Styela clava: one gene and its partner. The protein of the gene in region 1 purifies or fractionates together with the protein of each later gene. This does not show direct contact. Links are inferred from orthologs where the notes say so. Each region holds a gene or a part of one and is shown on either strand. Other genes may lie near its edges.

Region 1 (8,711 bases):
CTTGGAATGAAGTTATGTATAAAGTTATATGCTATAGAACAGTGTTTCTAAACCTATGGCTCGCCCCCCCAAACTTGGTTTTGGTCGCTTGGATTGATTAATATTATTCATTGAATTTAGATCATAAAAGTACTAAACGTTCAGTATATAAGCACATACTCATGTCGAGTGATTTCACAATATCTATTTTTTTTTTAATTTTGGTCGCTTGGAAGAAAGGTTGAGAACCACACCTATAGAAAAAAAGTAGCTTCCCATAACTACATCACTTATCAAATTATCCAGATTGTGGGTAAAAACCGATTAATGACAAGGCTTGGAGTATGAGGCATATGATGCCAGACAGCATAGTAACGTAACATACATACGGATTCAGAAGCAATAAATGTAAAGTATGGGGGTCATGCACAAGCAGAACAAACAAACTGTTTTTAATATTTATGTAAGTATCATACAGAACAAAAACACTAGACTATAGAAAGTATAAAATGTACATAAAATCTTAAAACTTTTTACAATTGCAAAGGGATATTGTTTGGCCCTCACAAATGTATTAAATGAAGTAAAAGTACTTGAACAATTACTGATTGAAAATCTGGTAAAGAATAAGATATATTGAGAACTGATTTGATTTCATAACAAAATTGGAATTGTAGAGGGACTTTATGGACACCCTGTATATATCATTTATTTATTATTAAACTCTTGCTTCAATAACAACCAGACGCTGGGATTTCACATTACAGATGATATTAGTAATCTCTTGGGACAGAGCGAGTGTTAAACTCTGCATTGATACAAAAATGCCACAACAAAGGGTGTCAATATTACAAAGAATATTTATAAACAGGACTAATTAAGACTGTGGCCTATGGCGCTAAAAGTTTACGAGTTGAAACATCTGCATTACTTTAACATTAGGAAAAATCAACTGACAACTTAACTGGTAAGATGCAAGATTTGGTAATGTAAGACCCATATATATATGTATGTATCACACAAATTAAACGGTTCTCAATTTACAAATCAAATTTATACCGGCAGTTCTCATTATGGGTGTCTTTAAAATACATTCAAAATGATGTTATATTTTTATTGCATTTATAGAATAAATTTTTCAAGATTTATGATATAAAAAATTATATATGACTAAATATCTGAAGTAAAAGTTGGAGACCGAGGTTCATATTCATCAATTCAATATATTCATAACTTCATCACCTAATTTAGTCAATTTTGTGTACTCCCGCAGTATGTGAACCAAGATGGCGGACCAGATTAGGGTTAGGCCATGATTTCAGGTACAAATACTACGGGAGTAACTTTGCTAGTCCCCGACTCGTAATGGAACTAAAATAAGGAAAATTGGAATAAAATTATGTCCTAACCCTAATCTGGTACACATACTATGTTCAAGTGTTCGCCATCTTGGTTCACATACTACAGGAGCGCCAATTTTTGAATACAGACACGATTGAATTGTGTCGAATTCTATTAAAAAGCCAAATCAATTCAACTTATCAATACTGTTTAAATACTTTTAGTCCACCGTGTATAGTTGCCTGTAGTGTATTGTTCAGAATGATGGATGAATAAATAAAAATTGAATAATACCCAAAATTTCAGCTACCGAAATAAAATTACAGATTTATAAAAGAGATTCATTATTAACAGTTTCAACCCATTAAATACCTTCTTATAAATTTGTGATGTTGAATGTCGATATGTGGATCAAAAATTTAAACAAAAGTAATACTTCTCTATAAGCGCGGAACATTTTCAGTTATAGATCATTATCTTATCCAATAGTCTATTGAATATTATTTGACTACGAAACTAAATAATCATAATATTTTCACAAAGCTTATTACAAAAGCTGTTTTTATAGGAGAGGAGTAAACTATATGTAAGGTTTTTATGAAAGCGTTATGCGCGTCATAATTTCAACTGGCCATTCTTTTGTCCACTAATAGGCTTCAATATTTATTCATGATATCTTTCTAGACTAATATATCTTAAGTGGGCTGGATGGTTGTCCAAAATTCAATTTAATATTATCTAGAAAATTTTGACATGAACTTTCTGGCTATACAGTCATACTATCTACTGCCCTGCAGGTCAATGAATTAGGATTTGAATTAGAAAATATTTTTAAATAATGAATAATAAGTTTATTCTTATTTCTGACCAAAACTAAAACTGATATGCGTTCTTTGAGTCGTATAAGTAAGTACATCAGAAGTTGGAATATTCTGAGGTATTTGGAATATTTAGAGAAGAACTGCCATAATGGTCAATGAATTAGGGTTTGAAGCATTTTTGAATATTAAATAATTTCACTTCTGATCAAAAATAAAACTGACATGCGTTCTTTAGGTTGTATAAGTACATTAAGAGTTAGTACAGCATACCAGTGATTTATATGTCTAAAAAAGTTATCAGTGTACGATAAATTATATTTGAGGCTCATAAGTTGATACAAAATCTGATAAATCCAATTTTTCCTTTATGTGATTCATCTTTGTATGATTTTTACTAGTCCAAGTCTTCCTAAAAAACTAAAGAAGAGTGATTACAAAAGAACATGGCCTAGCTTCTTATTTTCATTAGATTCAGAAATATAACACTTACAACAGAAAATCTGAACACATTGTCGGAAGTCGGCAACGGGCGACCCCAACAGACCACCTATCTATCAAGCATTACTTCATCAGCAAAAGTAGGTGTACAATTACAATGTGTAAACCTTAATAGGTTTGCGGTAAAAACACACAAATGAGAGAGATGGGTAATAAAACCAGACATAGAATGGATAGATTACTCAGAGGCCAAACAAACAATAACAAATGAAGCAAGGGAGAAACTGAAGAATGAGTGTTATCAACCATGCATAGGAACTTCGAGTTCAAAATAAAATCTAATATTCAAAAATCTTCCATTTTAAGAATTCAATATAAATGAAATTACTGCATTTTGGTAAATTCAGTTTTTGGGTGAAATCACAATTTGGTCAAATTTTAAATAGCTATATTAAGCATACAAGGTCATTGGAATTTGCAACTTCTTAGTAAATTTGGCGTCCCGAAAGTATGTGTACCAATATTGAGGTAACTAATTTTGTTCGCCTACTTTACATCAAGTTGTGTAAAGGACTGAAACCTATGGACAGGGAGTATATTCGCTTGGCTAACACAGACAGTCCCCGAACTTGTAATAGAACTAAAATAAGGAAAATAGGAATAAGATTATGGCTCAACCTTGACCTGGTATACACACTACGGGAGTACCTGAAGTACTGCATTTTTGGTAAAATTCAGGGTAAAATCACAATTTGATCAAATTTTATATAGCTACATTTAGCATACAATGTCTTTGTAATTTGTAACTTCTTATTTAGGCAAATTTTTAGGAATCCTAGTTGATCATTATGTAATAGTTCACATAAATACACTGATATTAGTAGATCACTGTTAACCTAAATTATTTGAACTTCTTTCAAAACAGAAAATCATAATTAAACACTTACCCAAAGTCGGCATCAGTTGATCGGAAAAAATACTTGTAATTGGGCTTGTTAATTGCCACCTTGAAGTTACCGAGTGTGATCTGCTCAGGTGGAATTGTAACTTTGCTCAAATAAGGCGTCGCTTCATCGCCAATGTAATAAACTATTTTGGTTTCTTCAGGCATGATTTAGCGTTGATTTTTATTTCACCGAGTAAAATTTGATAAAATTATCCTGTTCAGAAACTTTCTCATAGCATATATTTTGATTAGAGTTAAAATATAATATTGTTATCTGTAAAAATAGATGTTCAGAACGTTAAAAGAACATCTGAATAAGTAACCTTCAGGTAAAATATTACACATTGAAGATCTAAATTATCTATGGTAAGGCTTCATTTCATAATTATTTATCAAAAATTTCTTGCACAACAATAAACCATGCTTAAGAGAAACTACTACCTAATCAGCATATATTTTTGATCTATCTTTTATGTCTATTTCTATAGCTCACTGCAAAATAATTAGGAAATGACTCTTTTTTCAATGGAATCTCAAAATTTAAATATCCCATTAATTCAAATAATCACAAATCTTATAAAGATGAGACAAAATTTTATGAAATTGGATTTGTGGAGATCACATAAATTAGCAGACAATACATCATATTGATATCAATTTGAAGTTTAGCTGTATATTTTTAAATTGCCTACTTTTCACTTAAAAAGTTTTCAAAACATTTTTCAGAGTTTAGCAATTATAGTTTAAAATTAGTAAATTGAAGATGCAAAAATATTGAAATTAAAAAGAAAGCAAAGTCAATAAATATCAATTAATTTTATTGTAGTCTAAATCTTTTAATCCCTTCGCAGAAATTCTTGGAATATTTCCTCCTGTAATACGTTCTCTCTTGAATAAACCTTTTCATACAAAAACAGTGCCTTGGTGACCCAATCCCTATATTCAGTAAAAGAGCTCGTATTTTTATTGATACTTATCTTTTCACAAATTATTTGTGTTTTGGCAGACCATTTCACATATTCTAAATGTCCCATTAGAAGGATCATATCTCCCAAATTTATATCATTCACGTTTAACGACTGAAGCAGAGATTTCATGAAGGAAATATGTATATTGCTCTTTGAGACATCTTGTGGACTTTTGAGTTCTTGATCTTTCAAATATTTCTCAGATGCACATTTTGATATTTCTCCGACAGTATCGGTTGAAATTGGCTTTGACGATCCGAAACTATTTTTTCTTAAGATGCAATGAATCTGTCCAGTACCATCTTGAATTTCAAATCTCAGAAAATCGTCTTTCTTCTTAATCTCTGTAACAAACCCGAACACTTCCACTTTGTTAATTGGCAGCCCATGTGGATTTACAAACAGCGTTCTTGTCGCACATAACGGCTTCAGAGAATTAACTGCGCCAATGAGAAGCTTACAGTACGTGTTGAACGTTGGTATCATTGGTACACAAGAAACCGGTATTGTTGTCTCATATTCACACTTAGGATTTTCCATAATATTATATAGCTACGCTACTATATGATGCAGAAGTTAGACGATTTAAGATTGTGAAATTGAAACAAATAATAAACAATGAAACATTTGCAATAGTGGAATCAAGAAGACAATCATTTTATTAAAAATATTGAATAGTGATTATACGCTAGTTTATTTTGATACAATTGTAACAGAAACTCATCTAAATGAAGCGAGAATTATAAGCATTGGCAATGCCCTATATAAATGAGATTATTCCTGCCTATGATTTTCCATTGAAAATTAAAACATCTATTATTATACAGAGTACTATTAACGTCTATCGCCAAAACCTAAGCTTCAAAAAAGCTCTTTGCTCATTTCATCATGGCTCCAATATTTAAAGGATAAACTCTGAAAAAATAAGAAATGCCATATGAATATTTAAAAAAAAAATGAAAGTTATCATTGGTTTGAATAGCATCTAAACTTCAAAATTTATTATCAAAACTCAATTTTGAAATTTACTTCTAACTCACAGGTGAATCCAATCCCAAAATCCAGCAATTGGTTGTAAATCAAACTAAAGCATCTACGAATTACTAACGTTTTTTATTCTGAATAGTTAGTACTGATGTATACTAGAAAACTTTAAGTTACAAAATTTTTACACAGTCTTATGACGTTACAGATCATTTTTCTAATTAGGCTGATTATGGAGACGATTATAAATTAGTGAATTAAAATTTTTTTTTAATTTATACACTGTCAGACTGTTAAAATTTATAATATTTACCGTACATCTTGAATTGTCTACATTGATACTCACTCAAATGATGCTTTAATCTATAAATTCAAACTGGTTTATGAGCTACATTTTATTAGCACCACATTAAGCAATAGCACTGTCTTTTTTTGCCAAATAAATTCCTTTGCCACAACGGAATTATTGTATCGAGAATTCAGAAGCCAATAGCTGCATCTGCATGGTGATGCGGTGGCTTACCCAATGCGATGGCGTTTAGCTGTTAGGTCCTCTCATGTTCAAAAACTATGAGGCTGATTAGATCGCCTAATACTCGATAAGAATTGTTAAATATGCTAATGAATACTTAAATACCGCCGAATTTACAAATACTAAAGCATTTTATTATCCTACCTTAAGTACTGTGGGCCTACCTTTATGTAGTTTTCAGTACCGAACAATCACAACCGTTCCACCGGGGGCGCTACTGTGCACCACGAAAAAAAGCTGAAAAAATTTAGCACCTTATTTCATATTTATTTTTCTTAGCACGGAAATAATTTCGATATTACCTCATATTTCTCGAATTCACATTTGGGTTTTTTTAAAATATAAATCATCTGATGCCTTCCCTAGATATCGCGCATAACCATATACCACTTCTTTTATGAGGCGTTTTCATGTCTTTACTCCGAACAAATTTTTGTCCAAGCAATGAATAATTCGTACAGAATGGTGTTGAAATCTTCCTTCTTCAGAATAACCTACCCAATTCATTAAAGTCTGGATCAGGTAGTGAATATTTAAACCTAAAATCTTTAACCTGCGACGTCAATATAGTTTAGTACAGCGCTTCAGCCACTACTTCAGACACTAAGCAATCACGCCCATTCGCCGGATGAGAACAGAAGGGGCCTAAGTCACATTTTTGCAAAATTCACTTCTTTCAATATTTGGGGGTTTTGAGCCATGCTCTACAAGGTGGTGGTCTTGAAATTCTGAATTTATCAATAATAAAATTTCTAGCTGAACTTAGGACTGTAGAAGTTAAGAACACAAGTCCAGTGGGCCTGAGTCCAGCTAAAATTTTCAATATTATGAAAATTCAGAATTTTAAGACCACCACCTTGTAGAGCATGGCTCAAAACCCCAAATTACTGAAAAAAGATAGACCTAAGTTCCAATACGATGGGCATGAACATCAGGAATAAAATGTCCGAAACTTACATCCCTAAAAATTTCTTCAGTGCAACTTAGGCCTAAGTCACCTTGTTTTACCTTGCATCCCATACAAAAAAATTCAGAAGTTGTTGAGAACAGAATGGGCCATGTCTGGATGCAAAATTAACATGAGCAAATGCCAAGCTTTGTACCTGGGGGGAAACAATCATTGCCAAAATTGTTCTATGAAAGATCGAGGACTTGAGTGGAACCCAAAAGATTTTAAATTGTTGGGTATTTTTATATATGAAAATGATGCTGACCTTTATACTGTGAATATTTTGCCAAAACTCCAGAAAATGAAAATGATTGCACAATTATGGTCAAAAAAAAATCTTGATTTCCTTGGAAAAATTACTGTAATTAAATCCCTAATTTTTGTGGGGTTCAAAATGGGAGAGAATAAAACGTAACACGTTAATTGCACCTATAGGGGGAGGGGGGGGGGGGGTTAATATGATAGATATTGAATCATTTTTCATTGGTCTTAAATTAAGATGGGTTAAATTTTTAGTAAATGATGAATTTGATGCTTCGTGGAAATCTATAGAAATTTTTTTCCTAAATTTATATGGAGGAATGAATTTGTTCTATGGAAATGTATATCCATTTGGAATATTTATTAAAAACATTAAGTCGAGATGTTTAAGAGATACTCTATACTATTGGCATATTTTTAAATCTAAAGTTGTTACTGATGTAAGTCACTTGCATGAACCACTGTGGTTCAATAAAAAGATATCAAGTAAAGGGAAAATGTTATATATTGAAGATTGGAATAGAAAAAGTATTTGTTTTATTGAAGATATCTGTGATTCAAAACACAAAATTGCAATGTTTCCAATCATTTTTCATCATTATTGCTTTTCTGATTTTTATAATGACATGCAATCATATTTAAAAGTTTTATCATGTATACCCCAAGCATGGAAAAACAATTTAGTAAAAACCCCTCAAGCCAATCCACATCTTAGTCTATTGGAAGATATTAGAAGCATCGATAAAACTTCCAGATACATATATGACAAGCTTCGTAATGTAAAAATCTTGATGCCTAAGGAGAAAATAGAAAAATGGCCAAATGAACTGTGCAAGAACTTGGATAATTGGTTGACGCAGTATGAAAAAGTTTTTTATTGCACTATTGAATCGAGACTTCGATCTTTCCATGTTAAATTTGCTTTGCGAGCAGTACCTACAAATGACCTATTATTTAGGATAAATAAGACATCAAGTCCGAAATGTACATTTTGTGAAAGGAATGTTGAAACCGTGTTACATTTATTTTATTTCTGTGAATTTGTGCAACAATTTTGGGAAATAGTTAATGCATGGCTAACTGTTGAATATGGTTTAAATCTTAATCTGACATATAGAGAAATTTTAATGGGGGTAGAGCAAAACCAAGGTATAAACTGTGTTTTATTGAGTGCAAGATATTATATCTATAAATGTAAACTACGTAATGAAAGGCCTCAATTTGATCAATTTTTATATATGATAAAAAGTATATTTAACTGTGAAAAAATTTTTGCAACTAGAAAATGTAAACTGTCGAACCACATTAAGAAGTGGAAAGTTATCATGAACTCATTTTTTTAAAAGTGCAATTGTGTTTATGTGTTATATCGTGTGGATAAAAAGTGATGTTTTTATTAATAAAAAAAAATAAAATAAAAAAAAATAAAAAAAAAAAAAAAAAAAGAATGGGCCAAAGTCCATTATGGGGTTAAAAAAGCAGGAAGGAATTA
Region 2 (8,696 bases), on another chromosome or scaffold:
ATAAATGAGTTGTTGGCAAATTGAGGGCATTCAATGCCAATTTCATTGAAGGAAATCGCAAGGTTATTCTATAACATGCTGAAATAGTAGGCTATACAGCGGGGTCGGCAACCTTTCGAACGCAGCGTGCCAGTTTACGAATATTAAGCAACTTCACGCGCCAAACATTTTTATGTATCTCTATCTGGTTTGTATAGTCAGCTTGTAGCAAATGTGAATTGTAACTATAGACTATAATGTTATTTAACCCCTTTATATTATTTAATAGTATGCTGAATTCTACGAAATAGGTCACTTCATTATCGCGCCAGCGGTATAGCCTTCTTTTGTAGCGACTAATTTGGATGACGTGTGTTTCCGGTTTTGCCGAGTGTTGGAATACCGTGTTTTTTATGTTCTTATGATTTTGCCTTGGATTCCACGTATAACTGCATTAACGGGTTAGGTGTATTCCAATTAAAGCTAAGATCTGAAGCCCGACCCGACCAGAAATTCGGGCCTGAAATGTCAATCATTACGTTCGGGTCTGGTCGGCACGACACATACTATACTAAACTCTTGTAATGACAATTCAAAGAACTCGTGAATAAAATATGAAATATCGGGCTCGGGCCTGCAAATCCAGTTAATTGGCCGGGGTCGGGTCTGGTTTAGTACTCACGGGCCTGGGTCGGGCTGGAATTTTTGGGCCCGTTCTTACCTCTAATTCCAATATATATCTGTATTTGGATTTTTTTGTGAATCTTTGCAATATACGAACATTTGGCATTCCATACATTGTGTGCTTTTTGACTCCTGAAGGAGTCCAGATCGGGGTTACGCTTCATAACGTGTGTCAATCCAATAATACGGGAGTCGAACCTGCAGATATGGCTACTCTTTCCCTATAAGCTACATGGTTTGAATAGTAAGTGGATGAAAGACAACTTTATTTTATTAATTTTATTGGACAACGTCTATTACAGTCAAAAAAGACTCGCTTTTAATGAGATCCTTGTTTCTGCTTTTTCTTGCTCAACTATGTAATATCGGGACTATATTTGAACACTTTCAGACGAGCACAAGTTTCCGAATGATCTTCCGTATGTCGGCTGCGATGGGGATAGAGAATGAACTTCATGTGCAAAAATATTTGTTCATACAAATAAGTGAACAGGCAAACTATTTATTAAAAAGTACAATGACATGTTATTCCATTTTTCATTATGTAATGCTAATTTGCCCCGGTTAAGTGCAGACATTTTTTCGCTTTCTCTTACACTTTGGATGAGTTAACAAAAATTGGATAAATACGTGTGCGTGCGCTCCAAATCACTTGGCGTGCCAAGGAAAACCCTCTCGCGTGCCATTTTGGCACGCGTTCCAGGAGTTGCCGACCCCTGGTATACAGCTATCATAGAAATAGTATACAGACGGGGTTGTTGACTGATATAGGATTGAATATTTTACATAATATTGTATTTATTATATATAAATGTGTTATTGTTTATTATTTTAAATGCTGTATGTATGAATCAATAAATTTATCTTACCTTTCTATGTCGTTTACTATCTGCTACGTAGTGTCTGCCTCCGTTGTTACGTGACAATAGAGGTAGACACTACTTGTTGCAATTTTGCAAGCTGCAGTTAAATTATCTGCCAAACCGAGTTTAGCGAACATGAGTGATTTTTTTTTTGGTATTTCAAGGGAAAATCAGGCAGAGTTGACGTTGCCTTTGTTTTTCAGACCTACATGTTTTCAAACTTTAAAAGGCAAAAAGTACGCGTTAACGATCACAAAATTCAGTTTTACTGTTATTTTTTGCGTCGTAACTTTTTTCCCTGATATTTTGGCGCGCACGAACGACCAAAAGTTTGAAGACGTAGCTAGAAGTAAAGTGTTGTTCATAAACTTTGTCCTAAGAATTATTGGAGTAGCCTAGACCTTTTTCATCGCTAATGAAAAAAAATTTAAAAAGTCATATTGACGAAAATATATTAATTTTATAGTGAAATCGGATCTGGACTAGATGATCTGCCGGCCGCTTTGAGGTTTATATATATATACAAAGATTAATGGCACAATGAATTCGATTTGTATCTGGGCATTTTAGGATATTTTGACTCGCTTGGTGTTTTATGATATTATTGCTTACGCTACTTTATTGTCAGGCTGGGGTGGGGGTGTTTACAAATTTAGAACATGATGTGAAATCTTGCAACTTTGAGAGCTTTGGATTTGCCCAGTCGCAGAAACCTATTGGTCTTGAAATTGAATAACGCTGGGCTTCAAATTCAAATTGGTATTCACATGTGGTATTTGTTCCCACCGGAAAGTTGAATAAACAGTATTAAGTCAGTTTTTAAACGGACGACAAAAGTATTTGAACAACAATACATTTCAATATTTTTTATGGTTATGAGCTGAAGACGGAGATAAATTGGAATTTCGCCAAACTTTGAGGGCGATAGTTGAATTATTGTTAAAATCATGTATGACCCAAAGTTTAGTGAAACGAATTGAGCTCAACCTATCCAAAATTAAGAAAGCGAGAACCTAAGAACGCTTTGTATGGGACCATAAACAGACGGCGTTCTGTGATATAGTAGTTGTATTTTTGACCTAGATGTGGAAATACCACTTGGACAAATCACAATTTTTACGCACATATAATCGTACACTGGCGTGTGAGCCAGTCTCTGGAAATGCCAATGCTATCACTTTTATTTGAGGGCTCAGTGAAGGAATGAATAATGAGAAGATGGAAGAATGTGTAGAGAAATCCCTGGTACACACGTATATATATATATATATATGAAATCAACAAGAAAAAAAACATTTCATTACATAATTTTTCACTAGGAACTGCTCTTTGCGACGCAATTTTCTTTTTCTGTGAGACACTGCATTCTTCGATATATGTAAAAATGTGTAAAATTTTGATAGCTGGATGGGGCAACAGGTCCGGCTATTTTTCACTTTACATCACTGTATATATTTCATGGTTATAGTTCCGTTTGTTTATACTCACCAGGTGCGCTAACGAACAGTGCCGGACAAAGATCATTTTTTCGAGTGCCGCAGCAGATGGTAATCGCTTTCATGCTGGGAAAGTCGTCGAAAGCGTCTGCGCGCGGTTATCGGATGTAAGTCTCGAGTAAATTGGTTATTTGATAAAAGCCAACACCCAGTTTAAAAAGTACGCGTTCGTCGCCTTGCATGTTAAAAGGATTCACCGATAAGAGGCTACATATAAAATTTACTAAATTAAATGTAGCTTAATCGAAATTATTTAATTTAGCGATAATAAGGTTTGAAGAAAGGTGTTAATTAGTCTGTTTGGGAAATCACTTCTCGCAGGAAAGATTGTGACTATAATTGGTTAACGTCGGCCAACTTTTCTTTTCGTGAAGCAATTTTACAAGTTTAGAACGTATAGTTAGTTTATGATTAGTTAAGCACGGTTGGATTATAGTAAGCGACATTCAGTTAACGGCGTAACCACGAAAGGTTACTTCCGTTGGTATTTCTTAAAGCTGTTAACTATATCGTCATTGAATCGGAATGCGAATTTGGCGTTGTGCAGCAATTAGTGATTGAGGTCGTTCGTTCTATATACTGACAGCCTATGGACCTCACTTTCGTAACAGCATGCGTTTTTGAAACGTGTTTTTATTTTTAGTCACATCTCGTAAAATTGTCGTTGAGCGGATATTATTACTGTATTACAGCATCAGTTTATTTTGAGCCGATATGGGAAAATTGGTTTTGAAGTGGTCAAGGCCTCTGGTATGCAAAGTTGCTTGCGAAGTTAAATTTGCCCATCCTTATATAAAACAATTATTAAATGACATTTTGCGGAAATTTTACAAAATACTTCATTTTTATATTCTTGATCGTATGATTTTTGACGGACGCCACTTCGGATAACATCAGAATATATGCTTCATAATCTTTATTCAGTCCAAGCGAGCCGGATTTGAAATTTGTTTTTCCAGTTGCCTATGTCTTTATCAGTTATTGGAAATTATAACGCCGACTCCTAAATATTTGATAGATTTGATTCTGGCGCCGGTATTTCTTATGTTAAAGCACAATGATTGGGTTTTATACTCTAATTTAGATGCACAATTGATGCTTCTTTGCCTTCGAAGTTATGGATCATTTAGTTAAAGTTACCGCTGAATTATCAGCCGAGATTTCGGAATATCATATATAGATGACCAAGCGAATGCGTGATTGATTGTTAGAATGATTTGTTAGAAAGAGGCATTGTCGCATCACATTTTAGTTAGTATTAAAATTACCGTATATTGATTTCACGCAGATTTAGCGAATGCCCATGGGATTATTTGAATCGTATTTTGTAACGCGAGTCTATTGTCTGTGTCATCGGGGAATGGCATCATAAAAATAATAAGGTAGTTATATTCTATTGTTCAGTGTTCGCACTCCCCAGCGGCTTTTGTTTGTGTTTTGTTAGTCGGCGATAGATGGCCTAATTTCGTATAAGAAGGAAACGAGCGGATTAATTCGAAGATGATCAAGCGCATCGTTTTAGAAGATTACTTTATTTGCCGAACCATTGCATTGTTTTTGAAAAGCGATCAAAACTTTTAATGATTTTCAGACGATGCCGCCAATGGATGCTCATTTTAGCTCGTTATTTCAATCCCGTAAGCACCCTACCAATATGAGAAGCTTCTCCTGCTCAATTTGCCACTTTGCGATAAGAATAGAAAAGAATATAAAACACTAACAACGCAACGTGATAAATTCATTCCTCTACCTTGTAAATTTCCAACATTTTTTCGGGGATGGGGTTAATTAGCCTGTTTATATGTGAAAATCTTGGCATTTAACGAGCTTTATTTAAAACCGCATGGCCCGGGATTTTCAAATCTTCTGATGGTATTGTTCGTTTTTGGTCGCAAATTTGAACAGGTTTACTAGCGTATTTATCAATGCTCGATTTATAATTCATTGTAAACGTTAGGGTACTTATTTCTTATCCCTTCTCGAGAGTGCCATTCATACGTTGTTAATATTTAACCATCCAAGAAAAAGTCGCACGCTTGTGTTATTTTGCGTCAGGCGTTATCTATCAGTTTGGACATCGTTTTTAATGTGGCGTGTTTACGCATGGTCGTTTATTGATAAAAGATGAGTCACAGTAGCCAGCCATATCAAGTCTTTTGTCGGCGGAGTTCCCACCTGGATGGGTCATTTATAATCAGTGTGATTTTGTAATCAGTTGTTTACAATGGATGTGTGTTACTGTTGGACCTGCAAGGTTTCTGATACTTTTTAAGCATTGTCTTTGGCCGTGTCAAAAAAGTGTAAATGTAATAATATGAATCATCAGGTTAATATAGTATTATATTATATATCCACTTTTAACTGGAGGTTGTAGTAGATACTCACATCATAAATGAAATTTCATCCCGTTTTTACATTTCTACCCAAAAGCATAGTTTTTCAGTTTAGTACATAGTTTCCCAATATTACAATTATTCCAGGTGAGGTGCCTGTTGAAAACTCGAAAATCCATATCTTCTGGGCAAAATATTGCAGTGGTGTCACAACAGGTCTACTGTAAGTTTCACATGTGGATCTGGTAGATATCACTACGACTTGCTGCCGATGTGTCTGATATTTTTATTCTGAGATTTATTGTGGATTATATATTCAAGCAGCTGTGTATTTGAAGGATTTATCCAAACATAAGAAAAATGGATCCTACTGATAATGAATCAAATTACTCAGAGCTGACAAACAGGTAATAGTTTATTGTAATTTGTAACTGTCGGAATTATCTTGATATTTAAACAAATTCAGTATTTTTTTATGTACTATAGCGAAAGTCATATGCATAGGCATAAGTGTGTTTTGTGGAGAATTTAAAATAAAAATGTGATTTGGGGATTTAGTCCACATATTATTGTAATGAATAAGGTACTCCCGTAGTATGTGTACCAGGTTAGGGTTAGGCCATAATTTCATTCTGATTTTCCCTATTTTAGTTATATTACGAGTTCGTGGACTATCTGTATTAGCCAAGTGAATATCCCCCTGCCCATAGGTTTCAGTCCCTTTATACAATTCAATGTAAAATAGGTGAACAAAATTAGTTATCTCCATATTGGTACACACACTTCTGGAGCGCCATAAAAAATCCTTGTCAAGGTTTCTAAGGTTAATTTGTGGCCTAGTTTGTGGGGCTCAATTTGTAGCAGACATTTATAGTTTTATACATCTAAATTTTAGATCTGAAAGATCAAAACATCGAAGACATCGTTCTCCTCATGATCGTTCTAACAAAAGACACAGGAGTCGAGGTAGCAACCACGAGCTTGATGACAGTGGAGGTTTGTGTGATGACACAGGTGGCAACTGACATGGCAAATAACATGCGAGCATGATGTCGTTTTGTTATTTTAATTTGAATAATTTCCCAATATCAATAAAAATATTTAATAACCTGAATAATTCTGCACGTCAATGCTTCTCATGGTAATACAGTCAATTTTGTTTTTGTTGACTATAATCCATAAAAATGAGGTTCTCATTTAAGATCTTTTCAACTAGAAACTATCTATTAATAGTTAGTTATCTGAATTGTTCACTTCAGTTACACCATTCAGTGACATACCCAAGAGCCAAAGTTTAGTTTTTCCATGCTTGGAACTCATATATACAGTAGTTAAATTGGATGGTTGCATAGTTTTCACAAGACACACACCTTTTGCATAGATGATTGACTAGTAGAATTTTTGAGCAAAATAAATAGTATAAATTCTAGGAAACTTGCATGTACCTATATTATTATAAAATAATATAATAAAGCTTTATTAACCCATGTTATGTCTTGACTTGAGAAAAGTAATACTGACATATAATTTTGAAAGAATGCTAGAGTTAAGAATAAAACTGATATTTTATTTTCCGAAATTACTTTATAGTGATTTACTGTTAGATGTCGAGTGACTTTTAAGCTGTCTGTTTATCCAATGCAACTTAAAATTAGGTTATTGCACAAATATAACATCATATTTTCAATAACTCAATCGTAATTCTTATAATATTTTGCACAAACTTGAATAATCAGACTCACAAAATATTGTATCACTCAAATATTACCTCAACGCGTTACAATAGTGGCATGTATGTCAATTTCCATTCAAAATGGAATAAGTTTCAAAAGCTTTGAATGTCTCATAAGTTGAAACCCATCAATATGCATTATTTGATTGTTTGTCAGGAATTTGACAATGGCATGTCATTGATTCGTAAATTCACGATTTAAATTTTTTTTCAAATCTCAAATAAAATATGCTTTGGGTGAAAAATATATGAACTATTTTCCCACTATATTATGAAGCTTATTGAATTGTATTATGATATTGAGGTATCAAATACAAAGAACCCATTGTCAGTTTGCATTTGTGCCACACACCAATCTCACAATGTCATGGTTTGTTTATTTGATTTGATTTTTTACAATGTGCACATGTTTTCCAATTTTATTTAGTCATAATTAAGGTAAAATCTTCCACTGCATTATGCATACAGAATTTATTGAACATTGCATGTTATTATATAAATTCACTTTCATTTGATCTCATGCTATGTATTATGATCAATTGGTGATCTTTATCAAGAAATCTTGAATCTCAACCTGTATAATTGGACAATTTGGACCTTTTAATATGTTTCATTATAATATGAGGTATGTAATGAATAACATAAACTAAAAATCTTATTTTTGTTATGCTTGGTTGTGCCAATCTGAATATTACTGTTTTAGTCATCAAAATCTCGATACAACAAAGTTATATTATAGAAAACTATCACTAATGGAATTTGCTCTTGGCTGTTTTCTAATGCTATTAAGAGCCACAAATCGGTTTAATTATGGTGCGGCTTAAGGAAATTGGCACTTAATTTACAACAATTTTACTCAAACAGGAGAAAAGATAGTCACAATTCGAACACCACCGCTAGACACTAGTCGCAATGAAAACAACAGATCAGAAGATGTTCATGTTGACATGCCTCAGGTATAGTATATTTTAATCTGAAGACGCATGTTTATTAATTATCACTCAAACAACATGAATGAATGGATAACATAGATTCTCCAACTGATGTCGGAAGGCTTTTTATTAGATATGATACAAACTTAGACCCTAAATTTGTGTTTGTTTCCATTCAACTAGAAATACCCCAATCAAATATACAAGTGAGTCTTACTTGTAATTATGAAATATGGGATGAAAACAAGTTTGCTACACTTCACCTTTGTATAGTCACCAATTATTATTATCTTTAATTCTGATTGCTGCAAAATTCAATACTGGCATAAGACATCTACCTAGTTGTTTTCTGTGGTTTGGACAGATTAGTATAAAATTTTCTGCAGTGTTTATTGCGGATGGGGTTTTGAATGTTTTCAGTAGGGTTAAATTTTGGTATTTGGATATGAAACAAAGTCTGGGAAAATTCATGTCTAGCATATGAACCGTTCTTTTCCCAATAGTTATTGATACATCTGAAGTGGGTGTTGGACAATGTTTTCATAGAGTATAGATTGCTAACAAAGACAGGATTAGAGCAACATATAATGTAAACTTTCTTTCTGTTTCTTTGTCACCAACAATATTTCTCGTCCCCTGAGGTGAGGATATTTATTTTTCCCTTGGTGGATTATCTA

The links. Proteins that work in one complex are often made in the same cells at the same time.
Region 2: the proteins of segment polarity protein dishevelled homolog DVL-3-like (region 1) and vang-like protein 2 purify together in Drosophila melanogaster (affinity purification with western blotting; 3 studies listed by BioGRID). This does not show direct contact. The link is inferred for Styela clava from reciprocal best matches to the Drosophila melanogaster genes dsh and Vang.

What each region holds. Positions count from the first base shown.
Region 1 is NC_135256.1:5,539,631-5,548,341, reverse strand, and holds the start of segment polarity protein dishevelled homolog DVL-3-like, read right to left. Parts: upstream 3,804-8,711; 5' UTR 3,691-3,803; coding exon 3,527-3,690; intron 1-3,526.
Region 2 is NC_135253.1:1,169,968-1,178,663, forward strand, and holds the start of vang-like protein 2, read left to right. Parts: upstream 1-5,437; 5' UTR 5,438-5,715; coding exon 5,716-5,762; intron 5,763-6,250; coding exon 6,251-6,351; intron 6,352-7,951; coding exon 7,952-8,043; intron 8,044-8,696.